Arabidopsis thaliana: one gene and its partner. The protein of the gene in region 1 purifies or fractionates together with the protein of each later gene. This does not show direct contact. Each region holds a gene or a part of one and is shown on either strand. Other genes may lie near its edges.

Evidence for each region. The genes of interacting proteins can lie anywhere in the genome.
Region 2: the proteins of TOP1ALPHA (region 1) and AT4G26630 purify together in Arabidopsis thaliana (affinity purification with western blotting; one study listed by BioGRID). This does not show direct contact.

Annotation. Positions count from the first base shown.
Region 1 is NC_003076.8:22,424,077-22,433,572, reverse strand, and holds TOP1ALPHA (DNA topoisomerase I alpha), read left to right. Parts: upstream 1-4,070; 5' UTR 4,071-4,182; intron 4,183-4,488; 5' UTR 4,489-4,527; coding exon 4,528-5,748; intron 5,749-5,903; coding exon 5,904-6,098; intron 6,099-6,220; coding exon 6,221-6,301; intron 6,302-6,372; coding exon 6,373-6,432; intron 6,433-6,561; coding exon 6,562-6,656; intron 6,657-6,743; coding exon 6,744-6,900; intron 6,901-6,981; coding exon 6,982-7,107; intron 7,108-7,232; coding exon 7,233-7,313; intron 7,314-7,414; coding exon 7,415-7,505; intron 7,506-7,593; coding exon 7,594-7,727; intron 7,728-7,866; coding exon 7,867-7,935; intron 7,936-8,024; coding exon 8,025-8,114; intron 8,115-8,220; coding exon 8,221-8,324; intron 8,325-8,407; coding exon 8,408-8,576; intron 8,577-8,658; coding exon 8,659-8,714; coding exon of another isoform or gene 8,715-8,736; exon of another isoform or gene 8,737-8,799; coding exon 8,800-8,872; 3' UTR 8,873-8,996; downstream 8,997-9,496. Other genes in the region: TOP1BETA (DNA topoisomerase 1 beta), read left to right, coding at 1-197, 347-541, 632-712, 793-852, 1,009-1,103, 1,191-1,347, 1,436-1,561, 1,741-1,821 and 7 more; AT5G55290 (ATPase, V0 complex, subunit E), read left to right, coding at 9,487-9,496. UniProt on the Arabidopsis thaliana protein: Releases the supercoiling and torsional tension of DNA introduced during the DNA replication and transcription by transiently cleaving and rejoining one strand of the DNA duplex.
Region 2 is NC_003075.7:13,429,258-13,438,878, reverse strand, and holds AT4G26630 (DEK domain-containing chromatin associated protein), read left to right. Parts: upstream 1-3,108; 5' UTR 3,109-3,227; exon of another isoform or gene 3,228-3,283; intron 3,284-3,953; 5' UTR 3,954-4,001; coding exon 4,002-5,036; intron 5,037-5,111; coding exon 5,112-5,145; intron 5,146-5,576; coding exon 5,577-5,659; intron 5,660-5,829; coding exon 5,830-5,889; intron 5,890-5,968; coding exon 5,969-6,079; intron 6,080-6,278; coding exon 6,279-6,371; intron 6,372-6,453; coding exon 6,454-6,537; intron 6,538-6,711; coding exon 6,712-7,210; intron 7,211-7,406; coding exon 7,407-7,498; intron 7,499-7,718; coding exon 7,719-7,749; intron 7,750-7,836; coding exon 7,837-8,006; 3' UTR 8,007-8,474; downstream 8,475-9,621. Other genes in the region: WRKY20 (WRKY family transcription factor family protein), read left to right, coding at 1-358, 449-605, 690-845, 1,110-1,581; AT4G26620 (Sucrase/ferredoxin-like family protein), read left to right, coding at 9,002-9,379. UniProt on the Arabidopsis thaliana protein: Chromatin-associated protein which contributes to the modulation of chromatin structure (such as super-helical structure of DNA) and function.

The sequences.
Region 1 (9,496 bases):
TAGCTCAAAAGCCCAACAAATGGGTGAAAGATTCTAAATATTCGAAATCTTCTAAATCATTACCTTCTGGAGATGGGCAAAAGAAATGGAAAACTCTACAGCACAATGGTGTTATTTTTCCACCTCCATATAAGCGTCATGGGGTTAAGATATTGTTCCAGGGAAAGCCTGTTGACTTAACTCCTGAACAAGAAGAGGTCCGTCATTTTTTCTGCGTCTCTGTCCCATGATTGTATATTCGCTTACTTTCTGCAGCCGTTACTTTCATCTCATTTCCCAGAGTGTTTTTGCATCCTTTCTCTAGTCATGAGTGGTGAGCTGATAATATCGTCATTTCTATCTGCAGGTTGCAACTATGTTTGCGGTGATGAGGGAAACAGAATATTATAAAAAACCAAAGTTCAGAGAGAATTTCTGGAATGATTGGCGGAAACTACTTGGAAAGAACCATATGATTAAAAGTTTAGATGATTGTGACTTCACTCCCATATATGAATGGTATATGCAGGAGAAGGAGACAAAGAAACAAATGACTGCAGAAGTAAATAACAGTTTCTATAAGATAAAGTCCATGAGTACGCTCTTCTCATGAAGCTGTTGCTGATAATGTTATAATGCTAACGATGTACAGGAGAAAAGGATTGTGAAAGAGGAGAAATTAAAGCAGGAGGAGAAATATATGTGGGCTGTTCTTGATGGTGTCAGGGAGAGGGTAATTTCTTTTTTTGTTGTTGATAGAAATCTATTTCCAGCTTCTTAAAATTTGCTAACCATATTTTGCAACAATTCCAGATTGGAAATTTCAGAGTTGAGCCCCCTGGGTTGTTTCGAGGCCGGGGAGAACATCCCAAGGTTTATTTTTGCTGCAGTTTCTTACATTATCCTTAAACTATATTATTCTGTGTATGCTGTAGTATCATATTTACAACATTTTTCTTCTTTGTTCCCCCATCTTCCATAGTTATTTCTCATTTTAGTAATTTTCTCTTCTGCGTCATTATGTTCAAGATGGGGAAACTGAAAAAGCGGATTCGTCCTTGTGATATTACAATCAACATTGGTAAAGAGGCGCCTATTCCAGAATGCCCTATCCCTGGTGAAAGGTCTTGTTTTTATATGCTTCCCTTTGAAAAAGACACATGTTTTGTTTTTTCCTATGACCTGATTCTAAGAGTGCTGTTCTTTTTCAGATGGAAAGAAGTTAAGCATGACAATACTGTTACCTGGCTTGCTTTTTGGAGTGATCCTATCAATCCAAAAGAGTTCAAGTATGTATTCTTGGCAGCTAGCAGTTCGTTGAAGGGACAAAGCGACAAAGAGAAGTATGAGAAAGCGAGGAAGCTACATGTAATGAGCTTTTGATGCCGTTTAAAGCTTTTCTGGAAACCATCCTGCTTTCCCATTTCTTACCTAGCAACATACCATCTGTTTGCAGAACCATATAGGGAGTATTAGAGCAGCATACACCAAAGATTTTAATAACAAGGATGTAACAAAGCGGCAAATAGCAGTGGCAACATATCTCATCGATAAGCTAGCCCTTAGGGCTGGAAATGAGAAGGTAAGTTAACAAAGATTCTTCTTTAATTAAAGAGATCCTTCGTTCTATTCATTTTCTCATTGGTTTTGGCTTATAAGAGATCATTACTCCATAAGACCCGCTTCTTACTCATAATAGAACATGTTTCTGGAATTTCAAGCAATTCTCTCACATTTTCCTTTCTTATTTTTATTGTATAGGATGACGATGAGGCAGATACTGTTGGTTGTTGTACATTGAAAGTAGGAAACGTGGAGTGTATTCCTCCAAATAAGTTAAAGGTATACACTTGATCTCAACCTAAACAAAATTGACTGCAGAATGTATCTGCGAGAGTACTAAAATGCCTGGCTTATTGATTTGTTGAAGAAGGTTATTTTTTATTGCATATTATAGTGACTTATGGTATTCGCTTTGGCATTTTCAGTTTGACTTCCTTGGTAAAGACTCTATTCAGTATGTAAACACAGTTGAGGTTGAGCCTCTGGTGTATAAGGCAATTGGGCAGTTCCAAGCAGGTTAGTTAATAATTATGTAGGCTATCTAATCTTATAATTGACCTTTGGAAACTGGATAAATGACTTTTGGTTTCGTCTTCTATCCAGGAAAATCGAAAACCGATGATCTCTTTGATGAGCTAGATACTTCAAAACTCAATACTCATCTTAAGGAGCTTATGGCTGGTCTCACAGCCAAAGTATTCCGTACGTATAATGCATCCATCACATTGGATTTAATGGTATGTTTTCTATTACTCAGTTGTCACAATCCTAATGATATAGGTTTCTTAAGCCGTTTTGGATGATGTTATGACAGTTGAGTAAAGAAACCAGAGACGGTGACGTTCCTGAAAAAGTGGTGGTTTATCAGCAAGCGAACAAGGAGGTAATGACAATTATTCTCTCTGCTATTTTACAGATAAGAGAATATGATCATCTTATTCTTTTTTGTTAGGTTGCTATCATTTGTAACCATCAACGTACTGTCTCGAAATCTCACGGAGCACAAGTGGAGAAGCTGGCTGTGAAAATAGAAGAACTAAGGGTATAACATAAGCAAATCCTAGTTAAATATGATCAAGATACAATTTCAACTTTCTCACTCCCATAATCTTTGTACTTCTCTGCAGGAGCAAATAAAAGAGCTGAATATTGATCTCGACAGGGCTAAGAAAGGAAGAACACCGTTAATGGGATCTGATGGAAAGAGAAAGAGGAACTTAACACCTGAAGCGTAATATCTAAACCTCTCTTCATATACATTATTTATCGCATAAGCATCTCCTTTAAAACAACTCCCTCTTTGGAAAAACAGATTGGAGAAGAAGATAATGCAAACGCAAGGTAAGATCGAGAAGATGGAAAGAGATATGCAAACAAAAGAAGATATGAAAACTGTCGCATTGGGCACATCTAAGATCAACTACATGGATCCTAGGATCACTGTTGCGTGGTGCAAACGACATGATGTCCCCATTGAGAAGGTAATATGTAAAGAGCTTCAACAAAGTAACAGAATTGCAAACACTTGAAATTTACTTGTGTTTTGCTATTGCAGATATTTAACAAGTCTCTTCTGGCTAAGTTCGCTTGGGCAATGGATGTTGATCCTGAGTTCAGATTCTGTTCAAGTACCGATGAATAAATACATGTTCGTTGAGGCCAGTTTCACCTAACTACCATTCACCATACATTTACAGAGATATAGAGAGAAAGAGTTAAAAAGAGAAGAAGAATGATAGCAAGACCCTGTAAAAGAGGTTTCTTCTCTCTTATTAGTAAACCAAAGACTAATCTATGGATGTTTTATAGAAAAACAGTTACAATTTTTTACTCCAATAAATAAATAATTCAGGTTAATAATATTAAGAATTATACATAAAATGGTAGTACCTTTCTTTAATCTATATACTATGGATGATTAATAAGTTTATGCATTAAGTAATGAAAATTTTTAAGTTTTTTTTGTGACAAAATTCATTTTAACCTTTTTTAGTACTTGAAATAACTTTAATAATTTACAAATTAACTTTCAAATGGTTAAAAGTTTTGATGACACATTGTTTCGTATATCTAAATAGTATCTAAATGCTAAATTATCCGTTGATACGTAATTTTATCCCATAAGAATGTGGATATCCAAATGCTAAATTATCTATCGACACGTAAATTTTTCTGATAAAAAATCTTAAGAGCATCCAAACGTTAAATTATTTGATGATACATAATTTTATCGGATAAAAAATTGGATTTCTTTTTATTTCTGATTTTATCCCCTATTTTATTTACTTAAATATGCTTCACAATTTAGTAAATTAACCGATGAGTCAATGTTTAATCAATTTTTTCATCTTAAACCCAAAAATTAAGGGGATTTTGGCAATTAAAAAGTTTACGGTAATAAGAGTGAAAAAAATTGTCTATGGCGGTAAGATTAAACGATTTGGCGCGACTCAATACGACGTCGTAACGAAAACAAAACCCTCAAGGGGTGAACTCTCTAATCTAAAGAGAGTCTCCTTATGCCTTAGTCTCCTCGTCCTTAAAACGATAGAAACCATCGAAGCAGAAGAGAAGAGAGAACAGAGAGACGGAGGAGAGAGATAGGCTTCGCTAGACAATTTCTTCAATCTCTGGAAGAAGGTAGCTTCTTCAATCCAACGTCAAATCTCTGAAATTTGATTGTATTAAGCTTAATTTGCATCATTACCCAGTTATAGCACAAATTAGGGTTTCACATACGTAATTGGGGATTTGATATTTCAACTACACTGGATTCTTCAAATGTTGGTTCTTTGCTTTAAGATTCTCTATTTATGAATCTCAGTACTTCATTCTCTGTAGTGTAATCATTTTGTTGCTTGTAGTTGTAAACTTGTAATGGTGTTTGTTTGCCTTTCCTTGGGAAACTCTGACATTTCTTTGTGGTTTGTTTTGTGTCTTGGTCAGAAGTTGGTCTGAGCCTTCATCAACGTTGTTCTTTCGGGAATGGGCACTGAAACAGTTTCAAAACCTGTGATGGATAATGGGTCTGGAGACAGTGATGATGACAAGCCTTTAGCGTTCAAGAGGAATAATACAGTGGCTTCTAATTCGAATCAATCTAAATCCAATTCCCAGAGAAGCAAGGCAGTTCCTACCACCAAGGTATCACCTATGAGATCACCTGTGACTAGCCCAAATGGAACCACTCCTTCGAATAAAACTTCTATAGTGAAATCCTCTATGCCATCATCTTCTTCTAAGGCTTCACCAGCAAAGTCACCATTGCGGAATGATATGCCCTCTACTGTTAAGGATAGGAGCCAGTTACAGAAAGATCAGTCTGAATGTAAAATTGAGCATGAGGATTCTGAGGATGATAGACCTTTAAGTTCCATACTATCTGGAAATAAAGGGCCAACCTCTTCGCGGCAGGTTTCTTCACCGCAGCCAGAGAAAAAGAATAATGGTGATCGACCTCTTGATAGAGCAAGCAGAATTATAAAAGACGAGTCAGATGATGAAACTCCAATCTCGTCAATGTTTCGGAAGAAGATTGATAGTGGGATGTCAGGGGGCAACCAGCTCTCCAATGATGAAAAGAAACCTTTGGTTCAAAAGTTGCATCAGAATGGTTCCACAGTTAAGAATGAAGTGCCGAATGGTAAGGTATTAGGTAAGAGACCTCTGGAGAAGAATAGTTCTGCAGATCAATCTTCCTTGAAGAAGGCCAAAATATCAGCTTCACCTACTTCAGTGAAAATGAAACAAGATTCTGTCAAGAAAGAGATAGATGATAAGGGAAGGGTTTTGGTTTCACCAAAAATGAAAGCTAAACAGTTATCTACCAGAGAAGATGGAACTGATGATGATGATGATGATGATGTTCCGATATCCAAGAGATTCAAATCAGATTCCTCCAACAGTAACACATCATCTGCAAAGCCAAAAGCAGTAAAACTAAATTCTACTTCATCAGCTGCAAAGCCAAAAGCGAGAAATGTCGTTTCTCCTAGGTCCAGAGCAATGACCAAAAACACTAAGAAAGTAACGAAGGACTCAAAATATTCCACGTCTTCAAAATCATCACCTTCCTCTGGAGATGGGCAAAAGAAATGGACTACTTTGGTGCACAACGGTGTAATATTTCCACCGCCATACAAGCCTCATGGCATTAAGATTTTGTACAAGGGGAAACCTGTTGACCTAACTATTGAACAAGAAGAGGTTGTCCTCTCCATCCACGTCCTCAATCTTACTGATAAATGTTATATACCCGTTTCTTAATTGATTTTTCGTCCATCTCAATATCTAGAGTGCTTTCGTATGACATTCCAAGAAAGCATTATTATCCATGCTGATGCTATGTTGATGATATACAGGTTGCGACTATGTTTGCAGTGATGAGAGAGACAGATTATTATACTAAACCTCAATTTCGGGAGAATTTCTGGAATGACTGGCGAAGACTGCTTGGCAAGAAACATGTGATACAGAAGTTGGATGATTGTGACTTTACTCCCATATATGAGTGGCATTTGGAAGAGAAAGAGAAGAAGAAACAAATGAGCACAGAGGTAATTAAAAAAGAGAATTTTAAGTGTAATGGCTGACTATATTGGTGTCCCAGACCTATTTTTCTTTTTGTTAAAATTTTTCAAGGTGAGACTTATATCATAGTTTAATTGATGTGGTACAGGAGAAAAAAGCTTTGAAAGAGGAGAAAATGAAGCAAGAGGAGAAATATATGTGGGCTGTTGTTGATGGTGTCAAAGAGAAGGTAAATCTTCCCATAACGTTGTCATTTTCCCCAAAAGGGAGTTCCTCACTCAACTTCTGTTTATCTTTCAGATTGGTAATTTCAGAGTGGAACCGCCTGGCCTTTTCAGAGGCCGTGGAGAACATCCCAAGGTTAGTCATGTCTCCCAGAGACTAATTTTTGTAAACAACATACCTTGACGTTGCGGGTTTGGGTGGATTCAGTTGAGGCATGGTCTATTCTGTAATCTCTTTTAAAACCATCTACTGTCCGTCTTTCAGATGGGAAAACTAAAGAAGCGTATCCATCCATGCGAGATCACCTTAAATATCGGGAAAGGTGCTCCTATTCCAGAATGTCCAATTGCTGGTGAAAGGTCTTGTTTTTCCGTGATTTTCCTCTTAAATTTAAAAGCATCATATAATGATCTTTACTAAGCCATGGGAGCTGTGTGACTTTTCAGATGGAAAGAAGTAAAGCATGATAACACAGTCACCTGGCTAGCTTTCTGGGCTGATCCTATTAACCCAAAAGAATTCAAGTATGTATTTTTGGGAGCTGGCAGTTCTCTGAAAGGGCTGAGCGACAAAGAGAAGTACGAGAAAGCTAGGAATCTTACGGTAAGCAGCTTTCATTTTTATGAATCATGCTTACTCTTTCATTGTTTCTCGTTTTTAGCAATCGATTTGTTTTGACTGCAGGATCATATAGATAATATAAGAACAACATACACCAAGAATTTTACTGCCAAGGATGTTAAAATGAGGCAAATTGCTGTGGCGACATATCTCATTGATAAATTGGCGCTTAGGGCTGGAAATGAGAAGGTAGTTTTTGAACTAGTATATTGCAAGTTTAATGTAAAAGCAAATGATTTCTAACAGATAAATGGCTCGCAAACAACAAAATTTCTGAAGAAATCTCATATTTTCATTTTTTTTTGATTTGGTAGGATGATGATGAGGCCGACACTGTTGGTTGTTGTACTTTAAAAGTTGGAAATGTGGAGTGTATTCCTCCAAATAAAATAAAGGTATTAATTTCATCCTTAAAGTTTTACACTTGTCAAAGTGGATAACATGTGTTTAATCCTGGGCAGAAGACTTATAATCTCACACATTTCCCTCTTTCTAGTTTGATTTTCTTGGTAAGGATTCAATCCAGTATGTGAACACAGTCGAGGTTGAGCCTCTTGTTTACAAGGCCATTGGACAGTTCCAGGCGGGTGAGATATGGACTTGACATTGTATATCACAAATTATTTTACTGTTGTGACTGATTCAAATAACTTGCTTTTTTTTTTCCCCATCCAGGAAAATCCAAAACAGATGATCTTTTTGATGAGTTAGACACAAGTAAACTGAATGCTCATTTGAAGGAACTTGTGCCTGGTCTCACAGCTAAAGTATTCCGTACATATAATGCTTCCATCACTTTGGATGAAATGGTATGTTCAAAATCTTAGATCTTCTGGTTTCACATTAGATTTATGCTGCTATACAATTTAGTCATAGAAACCCAATTACAAGTATATATATTTCTTTACATTTTTTCACAACTTTGTTCCGTTTTGATGTGTGTAACAGCTGAGTCAAGAAACCAAAGATGGCGATGTTACTCAAAAAATAGTAGTTTATCAGAAAGCAAATAAGGAGGTAAAAGATTTGTTCATCCTCCTGGTGATTTCTTGTTTGGTACATAACCATGTGGCAGATTCATGAAATACTGGTTCACACTCTTTCAGGTTGCCATAATCTGCAATCATCAGCGTACTGTATCAAAGACACATGGTGCGCAAATTGAAAAATTGACTGCGAGAATAGAAGAACTCAAGGTACAAATCCTGTATAAACTCTTGAAAACTTTTTTGAAGTTCTCTGCTTTTCATCTGGATTCATTTAAAATGCCCTTCCGTTTGTTTGTTTTTTCTAAATCTGTAGGAGGTTCTTAAAGAGCTCAAAACTAATCTTGACCGGGCTAAAAAGGGAAAACCACCATTGGAAGGTTCTGATGGAAAGAAGATTAGAAGCTTAGAACCAAACGCGTAAAATAACTTTCCCTCTTACTTCTCAAAAGACTTCTCTAGATATCTATCTCGTTTTGAAGATCTACGTCCTTTGAATGCAGGTGGGAGAAGAAGATTGCTCAACAGAGTGCTAAGATCGAGAAAATGGAACGAGACATGCATACAAAAGAGGACTTGAAAACAGTGGCACTGGGCACGTCTAAGATCAACTACCTGGATCCTAGAATCACAGTTGCATGGTGCAAACGTCATGAAGTACCAATCGAAAAGGTAAAACTCTCAGGATGGGTCCCTTCTGAAGAAAAGAAACAAGTTTTTTCTTACCAACTCAGAAAATTGTTTCTTGTTATAGATATTCACCAAGTCTCTTTTGGAGAAGTTTGCGTGGGCAATGGATGTAGAACCCGAGTACAGATTCTCGCGCCGTTAGGTATAGAGAAGCTCTTCTCGGATGGAGCAAGTATTGGAGGGCAAAAGAGCTGAATGAGATAAGAGCAAAGAGAAAACCGGCCTTTCTTCTATTCATCTTCCTCCCTTGTTTAGAATTTTATTACCTTAGTGAGTAAAAAACATGAACATGTCAAGCTGTTTCATTAGTGTCTTTTTTAACATTACTATGACTCAAATGTTATGTTATTTGTAACATTACTATGATTAAAGAAATAGAAAATCCGAAGAAGAACAAAAACACTGTTCCCTCTGTTTGTCGTAAGATGTTTTAGCAAAAAAAATGTTTGCAAATGTGAAGTATTTCTCGTTTATCATTGATTAGAAGGATAATTTGAACATTTTACAATTTTATTATAAAATCATCGCATAGTGTATGTATATTCAATAGATATGAAATATAGAAAGCTTGTTTTGAACTTTAAAACGTGATTATTAAGACAAATCTGAATTAGGGTGTTTGGACTTTCATATTTGAAGAAAAGTTCGGTTTTTGCCTATTATGCCCTCACGAAAATCTCAAAAACTCACACGGATCCAAAATTCAGATTCACCGGATTCGCACGAAGAACATCATCGTCCTCCTCCAAAGAGGAGCTTTCATTTCCAAATCTGTGAGATCTCAGACACTTTCTCCTCTCCCGTATTGTTCGATCGCGTTGAGGTTATTGTACCCTAAATCACGTGTAATACTTATCGTCGCAGATAATTCTCTCACAGATCAGGATCAAACATGGGTTTCC
Region 2 (9,621 bases), on another chromosome or scaffold:
ACACCAACGAGCTCAGATATTCCGGCTGGATCTGATCAAGAGGAATCAATCCAGACTTCCCAAAATGACTCCAGAGGAAGCACTCCATCCATCTTGGCTGATGATGGTTATAACTGGAGAAAATATGGTCAAAAGCATGTCAAAGGGAGTGAATTTCCCCGGAGCTATTATAAATGTACACATCCTAATTGTGAAGTGAAAAAGTTATTTGAAAGATCTCATGATGGGCAGATCACCGATATTATATACAAGGGTACACATGACCATCCTAAACCTCAACCTGGTCGCCGAAACTCTGGTGGTATGGCTGCACAAGAAGAAAGGCTAGACAAGTATCCTTCTTCAACTGGCCGAGATGGTAATCATAACTAAAACTTGAGACAAATATGCACTTACTCCCTTGGCAATATCTATAACTTTTTCCTTCTACTCTTATGTCTGCATACAGAGAAGGGATCTGGCGTCTACAACTTGTCTAACCCCAATGAACAAACTGGTAACCCTGAAGTACCTCCTATCTCAGCATCTGACGATGGTGGAGAAGCGGCAGCGTCAAATAGGAATAAAGATGAGCCGGACGATGATGATCCATTCTCAAAACGGAGGTATTAGAGTTTAACAAAGGATTCAGGTGCTTGATTTGAATCTGTGATTTGACATGATTAAAACTTTATTTTAACTTTATGTAGGAGGATGGAGGGTGCGATGGAAATAACTCCACTAGTGAAACCCATCCGGGAGCCTCGGGTTGTTGTTCAAACTCTGAGTGAGGTTGACATTCTGGATGATGGTTATAGATGGCGCAAATATGGGCAGAAAGTCGTAAGGGGGAACCCAAATCCCAGGTTTGTACAGCATTAAAGCTTTTAACACCCCAAAAAATTCCTTGCTTTTTTCTCGAATGAACATACATAAACATAACTTGCGAGTTCAAAATGGTAGCTAGAACAGTTTAGTCCTTGTCTTCAGGACCTAGTTATTTGACATGTGCATAAAGTGTTGCTTCTTTTAGGAATTTGGTTTGGAATATGGAAGATAGTGATCTTAACAGACTCAACATGTGCGCAATGGAGATATTATGTTTCATGATGTTCCTCGGCCTTTTGTAGGAGCTACTACAAATGCACAGCTCATGGATGCCCAGTGAGAAAACACGTGGAGAGAGCATCACATGATCCAAAAGCTGTAATAACAACATACGAAGGCAAACACGATCATGATGTTCCCACTTCAAAGTCTAGCAGCAATCACGAAATCCAGCCTCGGTTCAGACCAGATGAAACAGACACCATCAGCCTCAATCTTGGTGTTGGAATCTCATCTGATGGACCTAACCACGCTTCCAACGAACATCAGCACCAGAATCAACAACTTGTCAACCAAACTCACCCAAATGGAGTCAATTTCAGGTTTGTTCATGCTAGTCCCATGTCATCCTACTATGCTAGCTTAAATAGCGGTATGAATCAGTACGGCCAGAGAGAAACAAAGAACGAGACTCAAAATGGTGACATCTCGTCCTTGAACAATTCATCTTACCCATATCCGCCCAACATGGGGAGAGTACAATCGGGTCCGTAAAACAAAAAGTAAGCAACATTATGTACGGGATCTTCTTAGGTTAGGAATGGGACGAGGCCTTGTTCTATATAATTCCTATTTCTTCACAGAGAGCTGATCTTGATTCAAACTATCTCCACCATATATATTTGTTTGTGTCACCTGTATTGAGTTCCAAAAATGTTATGTAAAAATACACAACAAGATGTTAATGCTTTTATTTAAACAAGAAACAGCAATATTACTACAAACTATTTCTTCTTCACCGTAATTAGATATGCTCCATGAAAGAAACACCACGACGGTACTTAAGCTACGTGGTCCTTAAGCAGACAATTACAACTGTTGCCCGTTTTTCAATAATAGTTTCTCAACTTTTAGTTCTAGACTTCTAGATTTGTCAAAAACTCATAATAATGAGATATAAATACTTCGACTAGGTGATTTACCATGGGACAATATTAAACTTTGTTCAATTATTTGGAAGGTTATACTATACAGTCTCTATACAAAATTAAGAGATTTGTGCAAGAAGTAGATTGGCAATTAAAACAGTAACCTTATTCTCTCTTACATGTATCTAGATTATTTGGTGGAAGTTACAATCTCTAATTTCATATTTAGAACTTTTTTTTTTCCGAAGCATTTACTGTTGTTAAAGACAAACATATTAGATTCTTTTAGATCATAGTACCCGTTAAGCAAATAAAAATTTTGTCGCTATCAAACTAATGACATTATAAGTCATTTATAATCATCGTCGTCAAAATAGTCTTGTTTTTTTCACCGGACCAGTGAATCATTTTCATCTTTTGCGGAAAGGTAAAAATCGGATTATCATGTTAATTTTTTTGCAAAAATTGACAACGCTATTTATGGTAGCGGATCGAATCCATCATAAAAAATATTTAAATATAAAATAACAAAATTTGTTAAAGTCACTTATACAATTCTATTCAATTAGATCATTTTACCTAATATAGCGTTGTTTAAATCAATTATAATTGAACATTCAACGAATTCGTTAAATTTCTTTAAAAAGAAGTACATTTTAAGAAAGAGTTTGTTTTAATCATTTGTTCAATCACATAAACTTAGCTTCCTTATCATAAAGAAGTAAAACAATTTCATTAATATTAAACCGATATAGCAATTATTACGTATCAATTTTATTTTTATCTGTTATATAGTAATTTTATAGATAATTTATTTACAAAACTATCATATCATTGAAAAATTACCAAATTAAATTTGTAGTTAAAAAAATATATTTTTCTATAGGTCACAAACATTGAATATGTTAACTTTTTTTGTCCAAAAACCTAATATAAAATCCTTGAAATATAAAGTCTAGGCTCGGTACCTGGTTCGGAACCGGACGTTAGGGTAGTTTATAGCGTCATCGATCCACGAGATGCATCAAACATAAAATCTGAACCGTTGATGAACTCTATTACAGCAATGAAATCGGACGGTAATGATTCATCCTAAGCCTGACGTGGCATTAAATTGTATTTAAAATCTGGCTTTGCGTCCGAATCCTTGAATTTCTCTCTCCTAAAAAACGCTATCAAAAAGAAAAACAAAAGCTATTTGTTCTGTTTTGTAAGAAAAAAAGTAGTTAGAGGAGAAAAAAAACTCAGTGCCGAGTCTTGTGATACTCTGAGGTGAGATTCCGAAGTCTTCTGCTTTAGAACCCTGTGGATACTCTGCTTAAATCTTTGTGAGCTTTTATGTTTTGAGCTTTGTTTGAATTCGCATGTTCTTTTGGTTCTTCTTTGTGTTTGTTTAAAGTTGCGATGAGAAGTTAGGGTTTCTCATGCGCTTCTTTTATTTGTGAATTTCGATGTTTTGATTATTTATTGTCTTTTTGATATCTGATGCTATTAAGTTGTTGACAAAATGCATGAATTTGACGTTGATTGACTTGATTTCGAGAGATTCAAGATGGGTTTGTGTTTTGTCTGAATCTGTGTGGTGTAAGCTCTGGAGATTTGTCTGAATGAAAGGGTGTTTTTTGGTTTCATTTGTCCATCTGGATCTTTGTTCTACTGAATGTATAAGAAGCGAGGATAAATGATGAACCTTCGAGATTTTGGTTTCTTAGTGACTTACGCGAAATTTCCATTTAGTTCTTCTTCTGCAGATCTAAAGTGGGATTAAGTGATAATTATGGATCAATAATGAGATCTAAATTAGATTTGTCTTATTGTTGACTAGCCAAGTTTTAGATGTTGTTTTCCTGGAATTAGTTTTTTTTCGCATATATGCTAAGTGTGAATTCAATGCGTTTTACATGTTCTTTATGTCAAGTTGTTCAATTTCTTTATAGAGAGCATTAATTTCTGCTATCGTAGCAATATTAATCCTCTGAACTGATTTCTCATTCACAGCCACAAGAAGTGTTTTTGGTGGAAGGATCTACTGAACTGGTTTGTAATATGGGGGAAGATACAAAGGCAACCATTGAGCCAACCGCAAACAAGACTACTTCTCTTGAAAAGCCATCAGAGGCTATGGCTGGAAAGGAGAATGCTGGGGGTAAGGAAACACAAGAACTGGCGAAAGATGAGGATATGGCTGAGCCAGACAATATGGAGATAGATGCTCAGATTAAGAAAGATGATGAAAAAGCTGAGACGGAAGATAAAGAGTCAGAGGTTAAGAAAAATGAAGACAATGCTGAGACTCAAAAAATGGAAGAGAAGGTTGAGGTCACCAAAGATGAGGGACAAGCAGAGGCTACCAACATGGATGAAGATGCCGATGGAAAGAAAGAGCAAACTGATGATGGTGTTTCAGTGGAAGATACTGTAATGAAGGAAAACGTGGAATCTAAAGACAATAACTATGCCAAAGATGATGAAAAAGAGACCAAAGAGACAGATATTACTGAGGCAGACCACAAAAAAGCTGGGAAGGAGGACATACAACATGAAGCTGACAAAGCAAATGGAACAAAAGATGGCAATACAGGAGACATCAAAGAGGAAGGGACACTGGTAGATGAAGACAAAGGGACAGATATGGATGAAAAAGTGGAGAATGGGGATGAAAATAAACAAGTGGAGAATGTTGAAGGAAAAGAAAAGGAAGATAAGGAAGAAAATAAAACAAAGGAAGTTGAGGCGGCAAAGGCTGAGGTGGATGAGTCAAAGGTAGAAGATGAAAAAGAAGGGAGTGAGGATGAGAACGACAATGAAAAAGTGGAGAGCAAAGATGCAAAGGAAGATGAGAAAGAGGAGACAAATGATGATAAAGAAGATGAAAAAGAAGAGAGCAAGGGTTCTAAAAAGCGTGGGAAAGGGACGAGTTCTGGAGGAAAGGTTCGCGAGAAGAATAAAACCGAGGAAGTAAAAAAGGATGCAGAGCCTAGGACTCCTTTCTCTGATCGCCCTGTGCGTGAGCGGAAATCTGTTGAGAGGCTTGTTGCATTGATTGATAAAGACTCCTCGAAAGAATTCCGTGTTGAAAAGGTTTGCCAAAACTTTCCTGAGCTGAGTAGAACTTTATTGCTAGATATGTTTATAATAATCCTTTGGATATTACAGGGGCGAGGTGCATATCTCAAAGATATTCCCAATGGTATGTTCATATTCTATCTATCTGTCCTTCAAGCATCTATCTCGAATTATCCTTGTGCTGAAAAGTCTTTTGTGTTAGCTTTCCAAGTTTACAGTTTGAGCCCCTTATTATCTTCAAGTGTGCGTAGCCTAAACGTTCTTTTGTTACGAGAATTCTATGTGCTGGATACTACTAGTTGTTAAATTGCATGTATACTATGGGTGGATTCTTTGATCTATACACTTTTCGGTTCTGGTTATGTGAATCTTCATTTGAATTTTTTTTCTTGGCATTGATCAATTCCAGCCGGCTCAGAAGCAAGATTTCTTGTAAACCAAAATCTAATAATCGCGACCTACCTAAAAAATACCTTTATTGTTCCATTTTTTCATCTTTTTATTTTTGTTTGAAGTTGAAATGAAGTAGATAACTTGAATGTTTCTTCTCTGTAGTTGCTAACAAGGTAATGAGGAAGAGGTCTGATGAAACTTTGAAGCTGCTTCACCCAATTCTATTTGGTGGGAGGAGAGGGAAGGTGAGCGTCTCTTTGGATCCTTTTGACATTATGCTGCTCCAATAGTCATACTTCTAAAATTGTCAATCATGGGCATACTCTTGTAGTTTGAGACCAGTGGTATGGACTCATGTGCTGTAGCAAGTCTGCTAATCATGTTTGTATGTATCTTATTCTTCTTGCTTTAACAGGCTGCTCAGATCAAGACAAACATATTGGGCTTCTCTGGTTTCGTTTGGCATGGAGATGAGGTGTGCAACATTACACATAATGAATGCTTTTACATATGCCTTTGCTTTGTATATAATTGTGGCTCTTTGGTATTTGCAGAAGAAAGCAAAAGAAAAAGTAAAAGAAAAGCTTGAGAAATGCACCAAAGAGAAACTGTGGGAGTTTTGTGATGTGTTGGACATACACATTACCAAGGCTACAACAAAGAAGGTCATTATGGTTATCAATTTCTAAGTTTTTGTTCTTGAGATTCATTTTTTTCCTCTGTGAATAGATACATGTGAAGGTTTAAATTTCTGTCTTTGTTGAGCAGCTTGATTAGCCATTTCTGGTTGTCCAAGTTTATGCTTATTCATTTCCCCATTTAATCGAATCTGGCAACTTCTTGTTGCATGCTTTTTCAACACAGGAAGATATTATTACAAAACTGTTTGAGTTTTTGGAGAAACCTCATGTGACAGGTGATGTGACCGGTGACACTACAGTTTCTGAGAAAGAGAAGGTAATGTGGTGTTGGGAAAGTTTTGTTTGCTTTAATAACTATTGTGCATCTTACATTCTTTAAAAACATTCTGTTGAAACAGTCAAGTAAGGGAGCAAAACGCAAGAGAACTCCCAAGAAAACTTCACCTACAGCTGGGAGTTCATCCTCCAAACGATCAGCAAAGGTAATGCATAGCTTAGAGCTGAGGGCTTGCTTGTTCATTAATCTTGTTATTAACTCTGAAAAGAACGTGTAATCTCAATGTAGCTTATTTGCAACTGTCCATCACTGGTCAACCCGTCAATGTTTCTGGCTAAGTATTTTAATCTGATTATATTATTCTGCACTTCCTTTGCAGAGCCAAAAAAAGTCTGAAGAAGCAACAAAAGTTGTCAAAAAGAGTTTAGCTCATTCTGATGATGAATCTGAAGAAGAGAAAGAAGAAGAAGAAAAACAAGAGGAGGAGAAGGCAGAAGAGAAAGAAGAGAAAAAAGAGGAGGAGAATGAAAATGGCATTCCTGATAAATCTGAGGATGAGGCGCCTCAGCCTTCTGAAAGCGAGGAGAAAGATGAATCTGAGGAGCATTCTGAAGAAGAAACTACAAAGAAGAAACGTGGTTCTAGATTGTCAGCTGGGAAGAAAGAATCAGCAGGGAGAGCCAGAAACAAGAAAGCAGTGGTCGCTGCAAAATCCAGTCCACCAGAGAAGATTACACAGAAGCGGTCATCAGCCAAACGAAAGAAGACTGATGATGACAGTGATACAAGTCCAAAGGCGTCCTCTAAGAGGAAGAAGTCTGAAAACCCTATCAAGGCCTCCCCGGCTCCTTCAAAGTCTGCATCAAAAGAGAAGCCAGGTTTGGTCATTATCCTGTTTTTTTCTTCCAGTAAGATGGTCGCTTAGGTAGAATAAAAACATGTTGGGTGTAGTGTATGTCAGATGCATTGGAGAATCTTATTCCTTATATCTTCATTTTCAGAAGCGAACCAATATACAACCACTAATGTTTTCTGACACCATGTTTATCTCTGTTTGTGTCTATATGCTAAAAGTAAAAAGGGCTGGAAAAGGGAAAGACAAGCCGAGTGATAAAGTGCTGAAAAATGCAATCGTTGAGATCTTGAAAAGAGTGGACTTTAGTACGGTGAGTAATTTCTCAACCTTTTATATGCGATACACTTAACTACTTGGGATGTGTGTGGAATAAAACAAAATTGGATTCTGCCGAACAAACTTATTGGTTACATGAAATAACCTTCGTTTTCTGAAAGCTGATTTGAAGTTTGTTGTGCAATATCTATTCAAACTGTGAATTTCCTTCTATACCTAGATAACCTAATAAGAGCATTGTTGTTCTTCTGCAGGCTACGTTCACGGACATCCTTAAAGAACTTGGTATGAACAGATTGGTTTCAGTCATTTGTTTTTCCAGTGATTCCTGGTTATATATAAAATAAACACATTGTTTCATCCATCTTTCAGCTAAGGAGTTCACAGAAGATCTCACTCCAAGAAAGTCATCTATAAAGATGATAATCCAAGAGGAGCTCACCAAATTAGCAGATGAGGAGGAGGAGGAGGAAAAGAAAGAAGAGGATTCAGAGAAGGAGGAAGCAGGAGGGTCTGGTGGTGGTGAGGAGGTGAAAGCCTAAACTCCTTTCTGATCACATCGCACATATTGAGTCTCTCTGTCAGATACTGTTGCCTAATGCCTAGTAGTCATCTGGCAAATGTGTAAGTTAAATCTGTGGATGTAATATTTTGTTGTTGGAGTCTGAACTGCGTAAAGCAGCTTTACTTTTGGTAGAGACAAGAGGAAGAAGCTGCATAGCCAAAGGATAGGTTGCTTGTATGTCTATAGCATTTAACATAAAAGCCTCCTTGGATTGTCTTTGATTTGTGAGGCTCCCTTTTCGAGACATTGTCAAGGTTTCTTTTGTTTATGTCTTTTGGTTTGAAGGAGGCCAATGGTAATAAATGAATAATATGTTTCTCTTGATTCCCTTTAAGACTTTGAATATTGCAGAAGGAATTTATGCTCATCTTGTATCCTTGATCTATCTCTAACATATCTGCAAATCTACCAACGCAAATCCAGTCTAAGAAATGTAGGAATTGGTACCTCATAAACATATACAACAAAGATTAACATTGATGAAGAAGAGAGTCTGTATTCTTACAGGACCAAAATATACAGAAAAGAATCTGTGCTCTTCTTCTACATCCCCTTTTCGGACAACCCAAACACAAGTTCCAAAAGAATGTAATTGCTGTTGTTACATTCAGAGTACCTAAATAGATTGCAATGGAGACACTGCAAATACATAGAATTCAAAGCAGATGGCTAAACATGGTTAACTATAAGCATAAGCAACACTTGTCCAGGCTTTTATCATTCTGGCTGCAGCTACTATTATCTTATTTGATGTACTAGATTCGAAAAGACCTGTCACACACACAAAGGCAAAAGTACCGGTCCGATTGCAAAATAGAATATCGATTAAGGAGTAAACCGGAATAAGAGTAACGGAATATACTTGACAGACCTCTCTCAGTAGAAGAATCACTGAGAAACTTTCACTTCTTCTTCGTCTCCGTAGTTTCAGTTTCGATCTGTAAAGTTTCAAACTTGTGGTCGAATTTTTAAATGGGAAGTGGAAGAGATAGAGACGACCCTTTATCCTTCACCAGCAATCCATCTACGGCGTCGTCTCCAGTCACTGTATCTGACTATCTCGACAACTTTCTCGGCGAACCCACTTCTCGCTCCGGTAGTTTTCAAAGCGAGAGCTTACTCGGTGGAGGCGGTGGAGAAAGCATCAACGACGCTGATTTTGGATTCGCTCGTCCTGATTTCCGATCGGAACAACTAGCTGGAACCGTACAGTTTTACGAGAGGCATGTCTTCTTGTGCTACAAAAAGCCATCTGTTTGGCCCGCAAGGATCGAGGCTGCTGAGTTCGATCGATTGCCTAGGCTACTCTCTGCTGCTGTATCGGCCAGAAAGGGTAGCATGAAGAAGGAGGTCAGCTTTTTACTCTACTATTTTCTGATTCCATTGATTCAGCTTGTTCGCTGTTAACTTGCATCTCCTGTTTCCAAGTATATTGCTTGATTCTCATAAATCTAGGTCTGATTGTTTCCAATAAGTCTCCCAAATAAGCAAAAAGCATTTGCGTTCACTTGTTTTGGCTTACTTAAAGTATCTGTTTAAGGTCGTAATGAGTCATAAAAACTCTTGCCTGGTGACTCTTGGGATTTCTGTAT